Linked DNA regions of Schizosaccharomyces pombe. The protein of the gene in region 1 binds, or shares a complex with, the protein of each later gene. Each region holds a gene or a part of one and is shown in the gene's direction. Other genes may lie near its edges.

The links.
Region 2: rml2 (region 1) and mrpl39 share a complex: the UniProt entries of both Schizosaccharomyces pombe proteins name them as parts of the mitochondrial large ribosomal subunit.
Region 3: rml2 (region 1) and mrpl27 share a complex: the UniProt entries of both Schizosaccharomyces pombe proteins name them as parts of the mitochondrial large ribosomal subunit.
Region 4: rml2 (region 1) and mrpl16 share a complex: the UniProt entries of both Schizosaccharomyces pombe proteins name them as parts of the mitochondrial large ribosomal subunit.

Annotation. Positions count from the first base shown.
Region 1 is NC_003421.2:694,344-698,055, forward strand, and holds rml2 (mitochondrial 54S ribosomal protein uL2m), read left to right. Parts: upstream 1-1,568; 5' UTR 1,569-1,578; coding exon 1,579-1,740; exon of another isoform or gene 1,741-1,764; intron 1,765-1,813; coding exon 1,814-2,740; 3' UTR 2,741-3,139; downstream 3,140-3,712. Other genes in the region: transcription factor TFIIIC subunit Sfc4, read right to left, coding at 1-502; RNA cap binding protein cbc3, read right to left, coding at 3,262-3,409, 3,532-3,712. UniProt on the Schizosaccharomyces pombe protein: Component of the mitochondrial ribosome (mitoribosome), a dedicated translation machinery responsible for the synthesis of mitochondrial genome-encoded proteins, including at least some of the essential transmembrane subunits of the mitochondrial respiratory chain.
Region 2 is NC_003423.3:2,700,189-2,703,354, reverse strand, and holds mrpl39 (mitochondrial ribosomal protein subunit bL33m), read left to right. Parts: upstream 1-1,603; 5' UTR 1,604-2,105; coding exon 2,106-2,128; exon of another isoform or gene 2,129-2,179; coding exon 2,180-2,281; exon of another isoform or gene 2,282-2,312; intron 2,313-2,339; coding exon 2,340-2,382; 3' UTR 2,383-2,620; downstream 2,621-3,166. Other genes in the region: ATP-dependent RNA helicase Mak5, read left to right, coding at 2,996-3,151. UniProt on the Schizosaccharomyces pombe protein: Component of the mitochondrial ribosome (mitoribosome), a dedicated translation machinery responsible for the synthesis of mitochondrial genome-encoded proteins, including at least some of the essential transmembrane subunits of the mitochondrial respiratory chain.
Region 3 is NC_003424.3:1,432,227-1,435,027, reverse strand, and holds mrpl27 (mitochondrial ribosomal protein subunit L27), read left to right. Parts: upstream 1-1,629; 5' UTR 1,630-1,652; coding exon 1,653-1,829; exon of another isoform or gene 1,830-1,874; coding exon 1,875-1,979; 3' UTR 1,980-2,255; downstream 2,256-2,801. Other genes in the region: DNA-directed RNA polymerase II complex subunit Rpb11, read right to left, coding at 613-844, 891-980, 1,026-1,075; SPOM_SPAC3A12.06C (sodium/calcium exchanger), read left to right, coding at 2,373-2,801. UniProt on the Schizosaccharomyces pombe protein: Component of the mitochondrial ribosome (mitoribosome), a dedicated translation machinery responsible for the synthesis of mitochondrial genome-encoded proteins, including at least some of the essential transmembrane subunits of the mitochondrial respiratory chain.
Region 4 is NC_003423.3:3,506,972-3,510,923, reverse strand, and holds mrpl16 (mitochondrial 54S ribosomal protein uL16m), read left to right. Parts: upstream 1-1,790; 5' UTR 1,791-1,990; coding exon 1,991-2,638; 3' UTR 2,639-3,401; downstream 3,402-3,952. Other genes in the region: ARS-binding protein Cbp1, read left to right, coding at 1-153; protein tam12, read left to right, coding at 1,021-1,221; lys4 (homocitrate synthase), read left to right, coding at 3,617-3,952. UniProt on the Schizosaccharomyces pombe protein: Component of the mitochondrial ribosome (mitoribosome), a dedicated translation machinery responsible for the synthesis of mitochondrial genome-encoded proteins, including at least some of the essential transmembrane subunits of the mitochondrial respiratory chain.

The DNA of each region.
Region 1 (3,712 bases):
CAATGACATTATTATCAATACGAACAATCTCTTCAGCTAATTTTTGGGCTTCGTCGAAGTTTCCTTCTTGCGCAAACAAATGATTCGCTAAACTCAACATTTGTTGCACTTCCACCGAGGGAAGCATATCAGCTCGACTAACACGTCCTCGACCTTTATGACCTTTACGGACTTTTCTAAATCCAGCAACTGCCTTTAAATTTTCTTCCCATTCCTCGTTCGCAATGTCGTCCTCGGTTCTTGAGGCTGTTTTACTAAAGTTTGATTCATCGTCACTGCCTTCATAATCTGACTCTTCGTCTGACCAAAGGCCCTCAGCTTGAAGGGCAGAGGTATCTCCCAAAAATTTTGCATCAACTTCAGATACATTCCTAGCCTCATCGACAATTTCGCTTATATACCCGTTTAGATCTTGCATTTCAGCATCAAAGTTGTCAGTTGTATCATTTTGCGTTTCATTCATATTGGAATCCACATAGCTATTTCCACCATTTTGAATCATCCTTTAAGATGCTCAATCATGCTTTCAAATCGGTCTGTTCCTTTTGCCTACTTGAAGTTGGCTGTTTTCGCGTTGGCGTTGGTGAAGGCAAAGTTGAAGTAAGTCATTATAGAAGTACTCAATAAACAAAGAGGTCATGGGTACCACATATCTTGTTCTACAATTGACTAATTAATATGAAGTCAATAAATATTAGTCCTTTTTTCCTGACACCAGTTATTTTACTTGCAACATTTTTGAATTGCAAACTTGACAATTTTGATGTTGTCAAAATACCTAATATCTGTAAGAATTTGGAAGATCCTAGTCAATCAAATAGTGTTTTTCACTTTTTTTTTTGGAAAATGGCATCTCAAGGCTTTTCATGTTGATTGACCTTTGTCAGTGTACACAGAGTATAGTATCGAAACCTTTCATAAGCAAACTAATAAGCTATATTAAACAAACGCAGATCAACCCCATCTTCGAATTGTTTTGAAACGAAAATGAACGAGTTAACAAAACAAATTTCCATAGTTGAAACTTTTCGTTGAAACTGTATATTAAATAAGATTTTTTTGGTATGTGAACTTATTTAGTAATTAATTAAGCACACATCCAAAAAGGAATGTGAGAAGAGTTTTGTGAGAAAGCAATGTTTTCCTGATACCTTGAATCCCTTAAACTCTTCATGCTCAGCAGGCTTATTACAGGTGTCGTAAATTCTAGTTTAACTTTGCTCAACTCGAAGGAAAAGCAAATTCAATTTATCAAAATTTCCAATATATTATAACGTGGTTGAAATTCTCAGTTGACCTGCCATTACTTTCAAACGTATAGAATCGGGTTTACAATGTATAAAATATTTACTACACAGATGATCAAACAATAAAACAAAGTTCTTCATTATTATAGCTAATGTGTTCAATTTCCTCTATGTTGTATTCCCTAGATCAATGTTCATTTATTTACACAGTTAACGACACCTTGGATTGTGTAAAGATTTTAGCACTGAGCGTCGCAAATTATGATTGAACTCGTTAATTCGCAGTCCATCATATTGTGAGTTCTTACCATAGGTTTAGTTGGAAATCCCCATGTTGAGTTATAATCGATTTCGGGGGTATTTGATTCCTCAAATTCATGCGTTAAAGCTGTTCAGATATGCCTCTACCGCATCTACAAGCGGTGAAAAAATTGAATCTTCCGAGAGACCCTACGATGTAGGGATGCTTCTACGACCAAAAACGAAGTTCGAGGTATGTAATATTAACACGAGGGTTACTTTTTATTTATCAAGCCTTAATTCATTTTTTACTAATTCTTATCAAGATTAAAACTTACAAACCTATATCTCCTGGTCTTCGTCATTTAAAAAGACCAGTTAGTGATTACCTTTGGAAAGGGAAACCTTTTCGACCTTTGACCGTTGCAAAAAGAAAAAAAGGTGGAAGAAATGAAACAGGAAGAATTACTGTAAGGCATCAGGGTGGTGGACACAAACAACGTATTCGTCTTGTTGACTTTGAAAGAAAAGTACCGGGTGTTCATCGAGTGATTAGAATTGAGTATGACCCTGGTAGAAGTGGTCACATTGCCCTTGTTGAAAAATTGAATTCCGAAACAGCCAACAAAAGTTATATTTTGGCTTGTGACGGGCTTCGCGAAGGCGATACAGTTGAGAGCTTTCGATCGCTTTTGAAGACTGGTTCTAATGGCGAGCCAGTAGAAATGGACCCCGTCCTAGCTGCTGAAATTGAAGATGGAACTTTTGCAGCAAAAAATTTGAAGCCAGGAAATTGTTTTCCTCTCAGATTAATTCCTATAGGAACTGTCATTCATGCCATTGGTGTAAATCCAAATCAAAAGGCAAAGCTATGTCGTTCTGCTGGCAGTAGCGCTCGTATCATAGCTTTTGATGGTAAATATGCTATCGTTCGTCTACAAAGTGGTGAAGAGAGAAAGATTTTGGATACATCATTTGCTACCATTGGTGTTGTAAGCAATATTTATTGGCAACATCGCCAGCTTGGTAAAGCCGGTCGTTCACGTTGGCTTGGCATTCGTCCTACGGTTCGAGGTACAGCTATGAATCCATGTGACCATCCACATGGTGGTGGTGGTGGTAAAAGCATTGGTAATAAACCTTCTCAATCTCCTTGGGGTGTTTTGGCTAAAGGTGGATACAAAACAAGAAGAGGTAAAAATGTTAATAAATTACTCGTCCGCGATCGTCCTCGTGGAAAGGAAAAGCGGTAATCATTTTATTAATGATCTCTGTCTTCATGACTTTTACATTTCTATGTTTTACATTACCGTAATGCATTTCAATTTTCATGATCCCTTCTCCATTTTAATAGTCGATGCTATTACCTATCCATTTGTGGACCAGATGCATTTATGTATAGTTATTTTGTGTCGACCGTCATTTATCGACGAAAAATTTTAAGCATTTTTTAAGAGTTTAGCTCTTACAATTTAAATCTGTATTGGTAATTTTTGTTCATCACAACGTTGCTTAAAGCTAAGGACTATCCCATTCAAAATTGTCGTTTGCTTACATCTACCTTAAAAGGGTTATCGATATCATTCAGGTACCAAAAGAGTATTCTATTAAACGCAGAAAAGAACGGTTTTATTTTAATATGGCCAACTAAATAAAAAAATTTTATTTATAAAATTGTAGCTAATTTAGCATATTAATTTTTTCTTGCCTTCGTCCAGCGAAAAGCGACTTAAAAGCGGATAAACTGGGTATTTAATATTTCTCTACAACACAATTAACGCTTGGAAACCCTGGAACGACGGTCTCTCCTTGATTTGCGTGGCTTGCGTCGAACTTGGAATATTCTTTCCATCAGTGTAAGGTCAGACACTTTAGGACCTAGTCGTTCATCTAATGGCGAACCCCTTTCATCTTGATTTCTACTGTGCGAAAGTGTTAGTAATTTGAATATAAAATTGAGTAAAAGGAGATTCTCAAAAGTAGAGGAAATGATTTTTGAAAAGTATGAGTGCACCCGGACTAATTTGGTTTTCACAAGTTATACCTTTTAGATTTGCTCTTCTGAGCCTTTTCTTCTCGAGGATCACCGTGAAACAGATAATATCTCGAGTAAAGATGTGCGCTTTTAACCTTCTTGTCTCCGTAGCGGGCGTAACGTATTTTGAATTGACACGTCGGTACAGTTGGGTGTGGTTTCGTTTGATATTCCAATTCCTCTGAAAATT
Region 2 (3,166 bases), on another chromosome or scaffold:
AGTTTGGCCCCTTTACCCTATATGCCAAAAGATGACCCAGGGGGTTAATATTAAGGCCTAAAAGGTAGGAGGAAGCAAGAAATGGTAAAATGGCACGTGCCAAGCCAAACAAGAAGAGATGATAGACACGCAGCTAAAGAACATAGCAAGCTTAAAGAACAAATAACAAAGCATTTTGGTTGGGAAATTGATCAGTTGAAGAAAGTTATTAAAGTTAATGATTATTATAGATTTACTAGTAAATACATAAAAACCAAGGAAAAGATAAGAAAATAAAATAAAATATAAATAATAATTAACGATAATTATATGTATATATAAGAGGATAATAATTTTATATATACACAGCAAATCCATCCTATATTTAACATAGTATTCCTCTATTAAGTGCGAATATTCTTTTACTTAATTCAGCCTTTGCTTATTTAATGCGAGTTGTCTCAGCCCTTAGTACAATGTCAAATCCTCTTTAAAAGATAGTTATTAAACCTTTTGTTATTCTAATGACAACTGTAACATATCCTTGACTTGTTTACTATCCCTGCTGTAATTTCCAACTCAATTTTTATTCTACATATATAAAGCATCAGTTAAAGATATTTTCGTTGCTTCTCTCCATCATTTTCACAACCAGGAAAAATGTTTATTTTAAAATTTCCCATACTATTGACCATGTAGAACCGTAATAACAATCGTAAACATTGCACTTAATGAGCTTTAAATACTCTCTCAATTCTTTCATTCAGTCTCCATATCCGAGGGATGTAGCCTTCTCCAGTCTATTCTATATCCGTCTTTGGGTGCGGCTATACTTGCGTTGTATAGATTTTCTCCGTATGCATCGTGATATGTCTCAATTTCGCGGATGAGATACGGACTTGGGATTTCGGGCAGATCGTCATACAATGTCACTAGCTTCCGCAATTCATGCGATTTGTTCATTTGCATTCTTTATTTGGCTAACCCTTGTAAAATTGGGAAAACACATTTTATATTCTCTTTGGACCCATAAACACTTAAAGTGACTTGTAACTCATCCATCCTAGTCTTGGTACAGCAAATGAATTAGGTTTGCTTACAACTTGAGGATCGTCTTATACTTTCAGTATTGCCAATAATTTACAGTTACAATGATACTTAAAGCTTGCGTTTGTTTAGAGCCGAATATATATATATATATACACGAAAGGCTTTTTAGAACCACCTCGTCATAAATGTTTCTTTACTAGGCTCGCTAATTTCCATCTGTGTTTTTTTTTCACGCTAGCAAACTATGCTATTGCAATTAGTTCATTCTTAACGTCCTAATTCATCTAGTACATGTCATTTTAACTAAAAGAATTTTTCCTGAAAGAAAATTGGTTCTTTCATTTGAATATCATTCTTTCCAAAAAAAATGTAGAAATACAAATAAGATTATAAATTGGCAAAGACGCGATTGGACTTTAATTAAATACCCATCTACAGCCAATAATTAAAAAACAATAATAATTGTAATAAAAAAAAAGAATTTTTCAAGAGTTGTTCATCACTTCATATTTTTTCTTCGAATGTTAATAGAACAGCAACTTCTATTTATAAGATTACTTATAGTTTGTTAATTATTCCTCTCTGTTAAATTGGCAGACATCAGGAGAAGAGACGCAGCAGACTCAATTTGTTATACTTTCCTTATTAACATTTTTTTATTTTTTATTTTATTTTATTTTTATTCAAAAATTCTTTCTAATTTTTTTATTCTTACTGTTCGTCTTTCGTTCTTAAGTGCCGTCATGCATGTTTCTCAATTAGAATTTCAAATCTAAATGCTTTTTTTCAAAACAAGTAATTCATTGATGAGCCTTTTATCTTTACTAATAGTTCTATAGTCTACCTAAAACAAAAAAATAACCTATTGAAAAGCCTCGATTGTACACAACCAAATTTAATAAAAATTGGATTGCAAAAAGGCTTTCTCATTACTCAAAACAATATCTTTGAATTGCAAACTTTCAATTTTACATTTCTGACTGCAAGTTATCCATCAAGTTAAAAGAGCTCGCCCACAAACCCTGGTGTAACTACAAAACCTTTAACTTACCGCTTGCACTGTACGTATATCCAGAATGGCTAAAAAGAATAAAGCTCGGTAAGACATACATGCTTAATTTAATGCGCATTTTTAACATTTATTTTTCAGTTTGCTTGTAAAATTATTGTCCACCGCTGGCACTGGATTTTTCTACGTTCGTTCACGTCCAAAAGCTGCTCCTAAGCTTGCTTTTATAAAATATGATCCCAAGTAAGTTATTATGGATTTTCTAAAGCCTCATTTAAGAAGCTAATGAATGAACCCATAGAATTCACAAAAGAGTACTTTTCGAAGAATCCAAAATGAAATAAAAACTTCTTCCATTTCAATGATAGTCTGAAAATGAAATGCTAAATTATGACCGATCAATCTACCTTTTTTCTTCAAAAACTTTATGGATGTGCATTAATTATGTATTAGCTTCCCAACCTACATCTTATACGACATAATTCTAAACAGCTGCGTGAACATAAAGACCCTTATATTATTCTGTCATATCTATAATTCCTATTTTTATTATTATTATTTAAGAGAAGGACTGAGATGTCAAATTTTCAAAGTAATAAGAATGTTCCTTTCACCTGTACCAATTGCTAGCCGAATTAGAACTATAGTAGTAACATCGTTTGTGTTTACTACTCTTGTAAGCACTGTAGCTCAGATCATTCGATTCTAAAATTCTCAAGCAATATTTTTAATACAAAATGGTTGTACTATTTAGAAATTATGCAAAACATGGCAAAGCATTGAATTGCTAAAACCAATCGTCGTTTAATGTCTTCGTAACATTTAATTATTTGTTTTCTATTAGCTTATACGATGCAATTATTTTTATTCCCTCGTTCCAATTCTTAGTGTAAATTTTTGTCTACCTACATTTTCTATGTGGAGCAAACTACTACACTTTTCAACGCTTTGATCACGATGCCAAAGAAAGCTGCATTGGACGAGCTTAAATGGAAGGAAGTCAAGCTTCCTGACCACCTAGACGACTTCGATGGGTTTATGGGCTTGGAAGAGATTGAAGGTGTGGATATCAAATATCAGCCAAAAGGTGCTATGAAAGAAGTAATTTATGAGGTATAATTGTTTATT
Region 3 (2,801 bases), on another chromosome or scaffold:
AAGCATAGGGTATCATTAATTTATGCAAGAATATTTATCGTATATTTTAAGAAAATATAATTACTTACATATCCAAAAAGTATTCTATAATAATAACTAATACAGGAATAAACAAATTTCGTAATGCAATTGAAGCAAAGCATTTGGAGAGAAAATGATGATTGTGAATAATTCAATGACATAAATTGTAATAGTACAACATTAATTAATTTATTTCTTTTAAGATTGAATGTAAGAATCGATGCTCTGCCCTACTGTAGGAAATTAATCACTTCGATTACATTCAGCAAAATTCAACTTTGAAAAAAAAAGCAATATCAGAGAATAATCCAGGTACCTAGAAAAACTTTCATCGCCATTGCTGCAGTTTTCTAGTTGGTTTATGAAGAAGCATATACAATAAAAGATCGGAGAACTTTCACCTTTTTTAAAGCATCTGTTTTCAAAAAAGAAAGAAACTTTTATTTTCCCTTTTAATACGACTTCGGTCCAAATTACAGAAGTTGCGAAAACGAAAGTCAAAATTTTTGTAATAAAGATGCATACAGAGGGTATTCTGTATTTTTTGAAACAAAACTCTAATAAATATTAGAGAAAAAGCAGCCGTGGATTTTAGGAAAACTCCATTTCAACGCCTTCAACAGATATCATTTTCAACTCCCATTCACGCATAAAATTAACTTTGATTTCTTCCAGATGAGTAATAAGGGACTTAGCAGCATCAACAATAACCTGCTTTGGAGAACAATCTTCTACGGTTTGTACACGAAGTATGAAATTGTGATTTAATGGATGAGGAACTTTGTAACCAGCAAAAAGAACCCTTTCGTCAGATAGGAGTTGACTTCGAAAAAGCAGTTAGAAAAGAAAAAAAAATTTAGAAGTCTTACTTTGCAAGCATATTAGCCAATGTATGATCCTCTTTTTCAAGAGTAACTACTGCGGCATTAGGTGATTTGCTATCGAGCTCATATGTGACTCTACACTGGTTAATGCAATTCCTTGTAAAATTGTTTATTCCTTACTTGGGGAGTCCCATAAGCTCAATGAGCTCATACCGTTCTGGCTGATTCATTATGCCAACGTTTTCAGCCGACTAGCTGAAGAAGAAGTAAGATGTTGATGCTTACGAGGGTTTTGTCCACGTTCTGTACATTAAGCATCACTATAAATCGTAATGCCATTTAACAAAAGCTTTAACACTTTATTCCACAACTCATCGTATTTCGTTATAAATAACGCGAACGTGAACGGACACTTAATATATATTTATCTGTTGGAAATCGGCTCAAACGAGTAATGAAATGGGAGATGTAACAGTATTTTTTAATAACTGATTTTAATAACTAAAATTTTTAAAGGCATATTTTGAGGCGTTTAATTGTAGATTAACCGTACTTGTTTTCATTGAACTGTGCAGAAAGATAAACAACAAGAAAGCTCATTTAAATGTTGAAAAAAAAATAGTTTTTCGTACTTATTTCATTTTTTAGTTTCATAATGTAATTCGTTTGTTCGTTTTAAACAAATATTTTTATTGTTTACATTCTATGTTTCGCTTTGACTGTTACCTTATACCGTTACCTTTTCTTTTATGACGGAAAACGCGCCAACTTAAACCCTCCATTTACCCAAATCGAGAGTTATTCAAAATGCATCAATCATTATTATGTTTTGGAGCAAGACGCTTGCCAATGACCACAAAGTTGGGTCATCAGTATTACAAGGGTACAAGAACTGGGAAAATGGGTCAAAAAACCAGGCATGGAGGTTTTCTTGTCCAGTGGTCGCGTGTTCGCACGTTTGTGCCTCCTTCTGGTGATTGTGAGGTATGTTGTAAATTAATGAATATTGTTTTATATTAACTTTCAAAGCTTTTGCCTTTTGTTTCTCGTCGAATTCAAGCCACTAAAGGAACTTATCCTGAAGGTGCAAATGGGTTGGATGGAGCTGTGTATTTTGATCTTGCTCATAGCTAGTATGTTTATCAGCCTCATTCTTTATTGTTTTGAAAAATTTTGGTACCCTTTTCAACTGTTGCTTTATTCTATCTGTTAATGATTGGGCATACACTTTGAAAGGAGAAATTTCTACGTTACGATACCTTATGTTGCGTTGACTGTTGTTATTTATTGTTTACGGACACGTATATTTATCGATATTCTGTTGTGACGTTTGCTTCTATTAAATATACTAGTTACATTCTTACTTTTTCTGCCAAAATTGGGGGCAATCTTGAGTACTGCGCATTTATATATTTATTATAGGATTAGTCTTTTTCATCCCATCTATCTTAGAAAAAAAAGGGCTGCTAATACCTAGCAATGCGGTTTAAGCATGGATTTTCTATATCTTGGATATCAGGTATAAAAATGTCGAAAACTTCATGTTTCTTGAAGAAATACAGACTAATATTACTTTGGTGTATCCTTGGCATTGCCTACATTTTATTCTGGACTCATCGGATTAGCAAAGCGTTTGCTTCAGTATCCTCGACTTCGGACTCAACCGTCCATCTTTTTGAGCGCGGAAATACCTTAAATGATAGCAACGACCAAATTTTACTTACATGCAATGATATCAAAAACATTACCCCTGCTAATCAATGTCGGTTTGCAAAGGCTTACTGTAAGGGAGAGGCTAGTGGGTTCTTTGATTACGTTGAATTTTATTTTTGTACCATTAACAGTCTCCGATTCCCAGTGTTATCAATAATTGTGGGATGGCTGATTTTCCTTTTCATAACTATCGGAATTTCTGCTAGTGATTTTTTTAGTACCAATTTGGTTACTATTTCGTGG
Region 4 (3,952 bases), on another chromosome or scaffold:
AAAGACGCTATGAAGGCGATCGAGCTTTTGCTAAACTATGAAGCTCAACAACCCGATGGAAATCCTGCAATCACGATTAGTCTATTAAATTATCAGAAGCTCCTTGAGGCAAGGGGTGGTAACGTGAATCTTTCTCGTTTGAGAAGCACCTAATGTCTGTATTCGTTGTGCATATTTGACTTTTTTGTTTTTGGTTTGTATTTTAGTAGTTTTAATTTTCTTTTTGTTGAGTTTGGATCCCTTACCTAATGAGTAATTTGCTTTTATTCCTTCATTTTAACTTGTTGCTCTATTTTTAATACCCGATTGCAACTGATGAGCTTATTTGATTTTTCTTTGTTTTTATTTTAATTTTTTTAAAAAAACCTTTTCGAAGTTTCTTAAACGCAAAATCGCTATACGAGCTAATGAAATTGAATATTATACATTTTGTAATTCATGTCTCGCAATCAAGTGCTTTTAATATTGATACTATTTATCTTTAAAAATAAAAACCGGCTAAATGTAAGAAATTTTTTTTTTTTATTGAGGCATATTTGTTTTTTTAAGGTCGAGATTAGATTGTAAATAGTTGAACCGTAGGGGTTAGAGCTTCAAAAAATGATAAATTATTACTGTGAAACCCGAATTTAATCCATTTACGCATGATTGATTTTATAAAAATGTACTTCTCTTTTGCTAACTGCTTCGTACTGTAAATAAGCTTACTTTACAGTTAAGCATTACAAAGGTATATGATGTAATGATATAAGAAATAATCAATAACGAACTTTGATGTTATACGTAACATGAAATAACGATTTCTCTTCGAGACCTAGACTAACATGGCGATGTTCATAACTATGGCGAGTAAGCACATTTCTATTTCTACAAATAACTCAAATCCTTTGCTTGAACAATCAAGCGTGTTATAGCTTATTGGAATTTTTTAAGACTTTTTACAGCAAGAATCAGTAAAATCAGAGAAATTCGAATTGGCAAGTCTTCAAGGTTGTGTCCATTCGGAATATTTATTAAAGTATGTCAACAACTAGTTCTTCGTCGACGTTTTCTACGAGAACAGCGTCTTTATCCCAATCATATACAAATTCATTAAAGAAGGAAGCTGCTCAAAAGACGTTAGAAAACTGGGAATATCAGGCTATTCACGCTTTGCAGAACAATTCTTCTTTTCCCGCGATACGTAGATCAATGCGCAAGATTTTAGCAGATCCTTCATAATTTCCTAATCCCATTTTTTGTTTTTTTTATAATCATGATGTGAGCAAGTTCTTGCTACAGGGGACAAAAGAGTTGCGCTTGGCATTCTTACGTTCGATTGTCCATACAATAATGTTTAGCTCGATAGAGGATCCTTCTAATGGTTTATAAACGTACATCAGAAGATTTTTTTAAGACAGTCTTAACATTCCAAATACCAATACTGAGGCACTAAACAGTTGAACGTTTTGTTATTCTTCAAGGACAAGAATTCCTTGACAAGAAATGAGCTAAGTATATTATTTGAAATAGCTAAAATAGTCACTGTTTTATTTCTATTCACGCATTGTTGTCATTGAAATGATGATGCTGAATCAAATAATGTGTTGAGCATAAAACGCACGTTAAATTCAGTATCTATGAAAATAATCTTTTTTGCCTAATGCTTAAGATAATTTTTTTTTTTTTTTTTACAAACTAATAAACAAACAAATAAATAATTATAGCTAATGTTCAGTTATTGTCCGGCTTCTTCCCGGAACTTAGTTAGGATAAGTGGCAGCAACACATACAGAATCCAAGTATCCTTTAACCCCCTTCTCATACAAAAAATAGCAGGCCTATTATCGTTACTATTGTTACCATTTTCCCATAAAAAAAGAAATATAATACTTAAATTTGATTATTTTGAATATTTCTGAGTAACTTTAAAGAACGACTTTTGCATGATAATAAAAACACGTTGTTTTATGACTTTTTGAAACCCTCACAACATAAAAACTTATATAATATGGCTTTACAACAATACAATAAATTTCCTTTCTTTTTTTCTGGTATTTTAGGACCTACGAGGTTGAATGGTTTACAAATGCCGCCTATCCAAACGATGGTTCGTTGGGGACACCAGTATGCACCCAGAAGCATCAGAAACCAAAAAGCTCAGAAAGGAAGAGTCCCTATACCCATAGGAGGTTCACTACGTGGTACTCAACTTGAATGGGGAGAATATGGTATGCGATTAAAAGATCGAAGTATAAGATTTCATGCCAAGCAACTCGAAACTGCCGAACAGATTCTCAAGCGTATATTAAAACCTATCAAGGCTGCTCGGGTATACACACGTTTTTGTTGCAATGTGCCAGTATGCGTAAAAGGAAATGAAACTCGTATGGGCAAAGGCAAAGGAGCTTTTGAATACTGGGCTGCACGGATACCAATCGGTCGTGTACTTTTTGAAATTGGTGGTGATGGAATGCGTAAAGAGTTAGCTGAGCATGCATTGAAGCAAGCCGCTTTTCACCTTCCAGGCAAGTATGAGATTATCGTCAAGCAAACCCCCAAAAGATTGGGTACCACACTGATTCATGAAACCCCCATTACCACCGAGACAAGCAAAATGAACTATCAGGAAATTACCAGTACTACTACAGCTGTTTAAGGGAAAAGTTAAGCTGAATTTATCTATTTTTAACCCATTCAATAATTACTTTTCTGTCATACTTCTCACTTACTTAGTTTGTGAACTTAATGCTGCATCTTTGTACAGACATTCATGAGCTTCTTTTCAATCGTTGTAGTTATTCTATGTTTTAGTGAATGAAATTTGCCAGAAATGCCTTAAAACATTGTACATTTTGCGCTATGTTTCATTATCTATTTTCGAAATGGGAACTTTCATCCCCAATGAGAGAGTTGCTTAATTTTTGTTGGCGAAATATGAACCACTTTTGATTCACTTTGATTACGGCTCGGCAATTTCGTTAAAACATCAAATTTCTTTGGTCCTGAAAAGTTGGTAACGGTAATGAGTGTTTTTGGCGAAAATCTTATTTGCTGCTCTCTGCTCCGTTGGGGACTTTTTTTCGGGATGTAAAAAACGGCACGTTGTATATGTGCGAAATCATGAAGTGAATCAAAAAGTACACTTTAAATAATATGAAACTGATTTTACTATGGAATTACGAATGAAATTATTCAAATCAACTCCACTAAAATATTTACAACGTTTACAAAAAAAATCACTATACCTTCTAGAACCTAGCTTAGCAATCCACTGTTGAGTGGATCAGTAACTTAATCATTACTACCATAGATCTGATTAAATCTCATCAAGATCGATCGGGATCTGTAAATCAATTTTCTACCATAAATTACCGCGGTTGCCTACGAGTTGGTAGTGACTGTTTCTTTCAGTAAATAAATAGGGTAGGGTCGAATTTTTTGAAATTCATACATACGTGCATCCTTGCTCTTAGTTGTCTCCTCTACAGTGATAAAAGATTTAGCTTAAAAAATTCAAAGCTAACAGGTTTCGGGACAATAAGTTGTTGAATTGTATAATTTATATATTTATACTTAATTCATTTTAGAAAATTCGCTTTTCCTTTTCCTTTTTTTGCATTTTAAAGTCATCAACATGTCTGTGTCCGAAGCTAATGGTACTGAGACCATCAAGCCTCCTATGAATGGAAACCCTTATGGTCCCAACCCATCTGATTTTCTTTCACGTGTCAATAACTTTTCCATTATTGAGTCTACTCTTCGTGAAGGTGAGCAATTCGCAAACGCTTTTTTCGACACCGAGAAGAAAATTCAAATTGCTAAGGCATTGGACAACTTTGGTGTCGATTACATTGAATTGACTTCTCCCGTGGCTTCTGAGCAGTCCCGCCAAGATTGCGAAGCTATTTGCAAATTGGGCTTAAAGTGTAAAATTTTAACTCATATTCGCTGTCATATGGATGACGCTCGT